2 linked regions of the Xenopus tropicalis genome follow. The protein of the gene in region 2 purifies or fractionates together with the protein of the main gene of each other region. This does not show direct contact. Links are inferred from orthologs where the notes say so. Each region holds a gene or a part of one and is shown on either strand. Other genes may lie near its edges.

Region 1 (3,926 bases), on a different chromosome or scaffold from region 2:
ATGATAGATAGATAGATAGATAGATAGATAGATAGATAGATAGATAGATAGATAGATGATAGATAGATAGATGTAGATAGATAGATGATATATAGATAGATGATAGATGATTGATTGATTGATTGATTGATTGATAGATAGAGATAGATAGATAGATAGATAGATAGATGATAGATAGATAGATAGAGATAGATAGATGATAGATAGATGATAGATAGATGATAGATATAGATAGATAGATAGATAGATGATAGAAAGATGATAGATAGATGATAGATATAGATAGATAGATAGATGATAGATAGATATAGATAGATATAGATGATAGATAGATAGATAAATAGATATAGATAGATATAGATGATAGATAGATAGATAGATAGATAGATAGATGATAGATATATATATATAGATGATAGATAGATAGATTATAGTCTGATATATGATGTAAATATTTCATAGAGATAGGTAGAATATTAGTTAAAGAGCATATAATTGGTTTAGGCAGACAGTTAAATACATAATATGATTATATGAGAGAAACAGATATACAGACAGACAGACAGACAGAGAGACAGAGAGATGAAGAGCAGGTAAGTGATTATAGATAGAGGTGAGTAATAATAAAGCAGGTAGAGAGAGGGAAACACAGGGTTAATGGCAGAGGAATCCCACCTGTCTCTGTACCCCCAGTGTAAGCGCTGATGATGATGATGGGGATGAAGGAGGGAAGGGCTGGGGGTAACTGAGCCAAAGCAGCAGCCGCCCCACTGTCCCGTCACTCGTGTGGCTAATTCCCCCCCCCCCCCCCCCCCACGTACGTACATACCATAGGAACCCATTATACCCCGCTGCACCTGCACAGTCAGGAAAACAACTTTGAAATCAAAACATGGGGCAGCTCCCCCCGCCGCCCAGCTCCGCCCCCGGGCTGATGTTCTGTGCAGATGTGAGAGAACAAAGGGCTGCGCCCCCGGTGCAGATGCTGCAGGAGATGCGCTATTGTGCCGCCTGGGAACGCTCCGGACTGGGCGGGCTCTGCGCATGCGCGGGCTGGGGCGGGCACTTATAAAGCTCAGCGCGGCGCTTTCTCCTCAGTCAGTCGGTGCGATTAGTGGATTGTGAGTGCAGTGGGACCTTCTTATCTGCAGCCCTGGAGCAGCAACTGGACATTATCGGATCTATTGCCGGCATGGACGGGGTAAGTCATAGGCATTATATTTATATTCTAATCCTATTGGGCAGCTCTGGGCACAGCATGGGGGGGACGTTCTGCCCAAGTGCCAGGGGTCTGACAGCTGGGCACAGGCGGGGTATAGAGCCTTTGTATGGGACTAAAGGGTAACTTGGCAATAGCCCTATAGCTTATAATGATCCTATTGCGCTAGTATAGATCCCTTGCACTAATACTGATCCCTTGCACTAATAGTGATCCCTTGCACTAATACTGATCCCTTGCACTAATACTGATCCCTTGCACTAATATTGATCCCTTGCACTAATATTGATCCCTTGCACTAATACTGATCCTATTGCTCTGATACTGATCCTATTGATCTAGTATAGATCCATTGCACTACTACTGATCCTATTGCGCTAGTATTGATCCTATTGCCCTAGTATAGATCCCTTGCACTACTACTGATCCTATTGCTCTGATACTGATCCTATTGAACTAGTATAGATCCATTGCACTAATACTGATCCTATTGCTCTGATACTGATCCTATTGATCTAGTATAGATCCATTGCACTACTACTGATCCTATTGCGCTAGTATTGATCCTATTGCCCTAGTATAGATCCCTTGCACTACTACTGATGCCTTGCACTAATACAGATCCTATTGCTCTGATACTGATCCTGTTGCACTAGTACTGATCCCTTGCACCACTACTAAACCTTTTGCGCTGGTATTGATCCTGTTGCACTACTACTGATCCCTTACACTAATTCTGATCCTATTGCACTAGTATAGATCCCTTGCACTACTACTGATCCCTTACACTAATTCTGATCCTATTGAACTAGTATAGATCCCTTGCACTACTACTGATGCCTTACACTAATACTGATCCTAGAGCACTAGTACTGATCTCTTGCACTGTTCCATTGTTCCATTACTATCCCCTGAACTGAGCAAGTCACTGAGAAGTGCACAAATTGTGTATCTGTGTATATAGATAAATATATACATATATTATTGTGCGCCTTTTATTCTATCCCCCTCTTTTTCTCACACCCCCCCAGCCCTGTACATCGCTGTATTCAAAAAACCGTTGCTCTGACCTGACTCAGCCCCAACTTCCCTTTCATGGGTCTCTGGCAAATCAGTGGGCTCCCCTGTGTGTAACCCCAAAAGAAAGTTGTTTTGTTCATTTCAGAAGAGGAAACCGCTTGTTGCCACACCGATGTGTAGAACCCTTTAGTAAGCCCAGTGAGTAAGCAGAGAGAGTAGCGCAGACATTGCTGTGTAAGGGTATAGTAGGGCACCGAAGCACACTCGCCGGCTTCTCTAAGTGCCATTTAGTAGCCAACCTGGCACTGATCTCAACCCTGGCACAAGTCCCTTCGCTGATTCTTAAGCCCTGATTGTGTTGTTATTGTTGCTGCTAAAATTCCTGTACTCGTTTCTGCTTTTGTACTGGCCAAGTCCAATAATCTGGCGTCGGGTTCTCTTATACTTGTTTGTGACACGTGAAAGTGTTTCCTGACTTACTAAGCAATAAGAGCTGAAGGAAGCATAAATTATTGTGTATATATATATATAGTTTATTGCACTGGAGTCCCTATGGGGCTGACAGTCACGCTGTTTAGTCTGCATCCCATCTAACAAATCCCTTGTCTCTTGCAGTTTTCCGGTGGCATCGATATCAATATATTTGACAGCAACTCCACGGAGAATGGTTCCGGGGACTTTGAGGATTTCAGTGAGCCGTGCTTCATGCACGACAACAGCGACTTTAACCGGATCTTCTTGCCCACGATCTACTCCTTCATTTTCCTGCTGGGCATCATCGGGAATGGACTGGTGGTGGTGGTCATGGGCTATCAAAAGAAATCCAGGACCATGACGGACAAATACCGGCTGCACCTTTCGGTGGCCGACCTGCTTTTTGTGTTCACCCTGCCCTTCTGGTCTGTGGATGCTGCCATTGGATGGTACTTTAAGGAGTTCCTCTGCAAGGCGGTCCATGTCATTTATACTGTCAACCTGTACAGCAGCGTTCTGATTCTGGCGTTCATCAGCCTCGACCGCTACTTGGCGATTGTCCATGCCACCAACAGCCAAGGCTCGAGGAAGATGCTGGCCGACAAAGTGGTGTACGCCGGCGTGTGGCTTCCAGCCCTTCTGCTGACGGTGCCCGACTTGGTGTTTGCTCGGGTCAGCGATGAAAATGGGCAGTTCGTGTGCGACCGCATTTACCCCATCGACAACCGGGAGACTTGGACTGTTGGGTTTAGGTTCCTGCACATCACGGTTGGACTTATCTTGCCTGGTCTGATCATTCTGATCTGTTACTGTGTCATCATATCAAAGCTTTCCCACTCCAAGGGCCACCAGAAGCGCAAAGCCTTAAAGACCACCGTCATCCTCATCTTGGCCTTCTTCGCCTGTTGGCTTCCTTACTATGTCTGCCTCACTACCGACACATTCATGTTGCTTGGGCTGTTGAAGGCCGACTGTATTTGGGAGAACACCCTACACAAAGCCATATCCATCACGGAGGCCTTGGCCTTCTTCCACTGCTGCCTCAACCCCATCCTCTACGCCTTCCTTGGGGCCAAATTCAAGACCTCCGCTCAGAATGCCTTCACATCGGTCAGCAGGGGCTCAAGCTTAAAAATATTGTCCAAAAAGCGAGCCGGACTTTCTTCTGTCTCAACAGAATCCGAATCCTCCAGTTTCCACTCCAGCTAACAGT
Region 2 (3,500 bases):
TCCTGCCCTGCTTTATGGCTGAGATTCTAGCTATCTGTATAACAGAGCATTCTGTCACAGTGGCACAGATCCTATCTGACCCCCCCCCCCCCCCCCCATTGCTGACTTGTCACTCTATTCCAGGCCCTTGGCTGCTGGGGTTTATCACAAGGGCAGGCTGTGCCCCCTCCCATGATGAGTAGTTGCCAATAAGAGGCACAAGGGCTGTGAGTCACATTCAGACGGTCCCTGTGAGTGGCAGTTGGGGGGGGGGGGGCAGATATAAGATATATACTGGGTTAATGGGGCTTTTACATTGTTAGAGGGAGGGGCCTCACAGCATGCAAAGCATTCTGGCTAATTAGGGATCAGATGACATGCCTGCTGCAGCCCGCACTGGTAGCTCTGTAGCGCAGGAGTATGACAAGCTTTTGGCACCTTATGGGGGACATTAGTTGGACCCCCACCCTGTGCGTTTAGCAGTGTGTGAGGCAAAAGTGTAACTGTACCAAGCGCTCCCTTATCTAACTGAGCTGTGCCGTGTGGCACCGACTGATAAGCCCTCCCCCCCCCCCCAGGGGCAGCCTATCTGTCTCTGTCACCCCTCACTAACTGTCATATTAACCCTATGGGCAGAGCAGTACTGATGGTACCAGTCAGGGAGCCCTTTTCCCCTGGCACGAGCCCCACACGTATATATGCCAAGCAACCCAGTAATGAGTGACGTGTTTCCTAGTGGCAACTGCTTAGGGGCAAAGTGTCAGAGACATGAGGAAGGAGGTCCCTGGCCTGCGGAGCTTACAATCTTAATTTGCCTTTCTTTCCTGTCTCCCCAGGCACTGCTCTTTGTTTTCTCTGTCCTAAGGAAAGTAGCGTGGGATTATGGGAGGCTGGCGCTGGTTACGGATGCAGACAGGTGAGTTGGCACCCACAGGGCTGGGGGGGTGATTGCTTCTGTGCCACGGGGTAGGCATGGGTGCCCCAGGCATGTAGCTGCATTTAGGGTGCCTACACCCACGGGGGCTGTTCCATTTTACTCCCCACGTGCAGATTCTGCGAGAGAAAATTGCAGGGCAGGCGTCATGTTTTTTCCCTTGCAGAGCGGGTTCTCCTGGCAGAGCAGGGCGGGTACCGGCAGCACCGGGCAGAGGGCTGCTGGGAGTTTCTGGACAAGCGAGTACTTACAGCAGATTGGACCCATTTTAACTCAGTTTTTATGTTATTTTCTGTGTTTGAACCCAGACAGCGGCGTCAGCGAGTCCCTCAAGAGGAGCACGAATAGTATGTTGTAACTCTCTCCTTGTGGTACCCCTACTGTCACTTTAACTGCCCCCTCTGTGGTGTCTCTTCCACTAACTGTCCTGGCTGCACTCTCTGTATGTGGGCACAGAAAGCACCTGTCCCAAGCCTGGCACTCATATACTGGAACCCACGGGCCTATATACCTCCAGTAACAGGAAGTTCCTGCTGGAATAGAATGTTGGCACAGGAAGTGCACTGTGCAAAGGGAATTCCCTCCCCCTGACTGCTGAAGAGAGAACATGAAACTCCCTGCACCTTTCCATGTACAGTATCAGAACATTGTAGGTGCCCCTGGGGGGGGGGGTAGTTGTACCAGCTGGGCGCACTCCTGGCCAATCAGACTTTTGGGACCGGTGCTTTGCTGCATTTTGGGGTTGGACGGACCTGTGACTCCTAGTTCCTCTCTGCCTCTCGGGGTAACAAGTACTAACTTCTGTCTCTCCCAATCAGATCTCTGAGTGATTTAACCACTTAACTACCAGCGGTTTCCCCCTCCTGCAGTGCGTCCGTGGCTTGGGGGCCCCTTCTAACCAATGTCTTCCTTCCACGCAGCGTGGCCTCCGCGATGCACTCCGATAACCACGACCGCTACGAGCGCCTCACCTCCGTCTCCAGCTCCGTGGACTTCGAGCAGCGCGACAACGTGAGTGCATGCTGGGAAATAAAGGGGACGTAAAGACTTGTAAGGCTGCGCATCTTACTCATCAGGAGGGTTCTGGTGCTGGTACTGGTGCTGGTACTGGTACTTGCTCACAAGTGGGTTGGGCTCAAGCTAAGGGTGGCGGGGGCTCATTATTTGTGGGACTGGGCCAGATGTTTTTTTATATCTTCTGTCCTGGCCTATTGAGTTCAGACTAATCACCCAGCCCTTCAGTCAGTTTAACCCTTGAATTTCTGCAACTCTCTTTGCTGGTTTTGGCTTAGAAATAGGTCAGGTACCAGTTTGGGTTTGGGTTGCACGCCCTGCTGCTGACAGACAGTAATTCTTACTGGGATACTGGGCCCCTATCTTAGATTGTGAGCTCTTGGGTACAGCTAAAACGTGACCCGCCACCCAGAAACACAGACATTCCCATTCCTTTTATTTTTTTGGGGGGGGGTGGAGTGGGGGTGGAGTGGGGGGGGCATAAAAATGTTTAGAAATGAACAGGTAGGTGGGTGTTTTATTGGGCGGGTACCCGCTGTGCCCGTAGGTAGGTTGGTCTGTGTGTAACGTCTCACTCTTCCCTCTGCAGGGGTTTTGCTCCTGGCTCACCGCCATCTTCAGGATCAAGTGAGTTGTGTGCCCCTCCCAAACAGACTGACCTGGGGGGTCCTCTTTGTGCCCCCTCCCCTAACGTACTTACCTCTGGGGGGTGCTCTTTGTGCCCCCTCCCCTAATGTACTTACCTCTGGGGGGTCCTCTTTGTGCCCCCTCCCCTAACGTACTTACCTCTGGGGGGTGCTCTTTGTGCCCCCTCCCCTAACGTACTTACCTCTGGGGGGTCCTCTTTGTGCCCCCTCCCCTAATGTACTTACCTCTGGGGGGTGCTCTTTGTGCCCCCTCCTCTAACGTACTTACCTCTGGGGCACTACTGCGCCTTATGCACTCCTTCCCTTAACAGACTGACCTCTGGGGGTCCACTTTGTACCCCTTACCCATCCCCTTCTGTGTTCTGTGTACCCCCACGGACTGCTCTGCTCCCACCCTCCCACCTAACAGACCTCTTGGGGGGGTGGATTCGTGTTCTCTGTGCTTTGTACCCCCTTCCCCCCCCCCCCGTGCACTGTGTTTAATGTCCATAGGGACTGACCTATAGGGGGCGCTGCCCATGCCTCTGACTCGCTGGGGGGCTCCTGGCTACTGTATGAGGCTCACCTGGATTCTCTTCCCCCCCCCCCCAGGGATGATGAGATCCGGGACAAGTGCGGTGCCGATGCAGTTCATTACCTGTCCTTCCAGCGCCACATCATTGGGCTCCTGGTGGTAGTTGGGGTTCTCTCGGTGGGCATCGTGCTGCCTGTTAACTTCTCTGGAGACCTGCTGGGTAAGAGCCCCCCGAACCCTGTGTGCTGCCCCCCTAACCCTGTGTGCTGCCCCCCCTAACCCTGTGTGCTGCCCCCCCTAACCCTGTGTGTATCTCATGCAGAAAACAATGCCTACAGCTTCGGGAGAACCACCATCGCTAACCTGGACTCCAGGTAGGTCCAGTGAGAAGCACATCCGCGCCCGCAGCATT

What was found.
Region 1: the proteins of tmem63b (region 2) and cxcr4 purify together in Homo sapiens (co-immunoprecipitation; 3 studies listed by BioGRID and IntAct, with this or other methods). This does not show direct contact. The link is inferred for Xenopus tropicalis from reciprocal best matches to the Homo sapiens genes TMEM63B and CXCR4.

What each region holds. Positions count from the first base shown.
Region 1 is NC_030685.2:81,967,511-81,971,436, forward strand, and holds the start of cxcr4 (C-X-C chemokine receptor type 4), read left to right. Parts: upstream 1-1,126; 5' UTR 1,127-1,192; coding exon 1,193-1,201; intron 1,202-2,854; coding exon 2,855-3,922; 3' UTR 3,923-3,926.
Region 2 is NC_030681.2:2,005,206-2,008,705, forward strand, and holds part of tmem63b (CSC1-like protein 2), read left to right. Parts: intron 1-815; coding exon 816-895; intron 896-1,221; coding exon 1,222-1,260; intron 1,261-1,833; coding exon 1,834-1,924; intron 1,925-2,516; coding exon 2,517-2,554; intron 2,555-3,165; coding exon 3,166-3,308; intron 3,309-3,410; coding exon 3,411-3,462; intron 3,463-3,500. UniProt on the Homo sapiens protein: Mechanosensitive cation channel with low conductance and high activation threshold. Osmosensitive cation channel preferentially activated by hypotonic stress.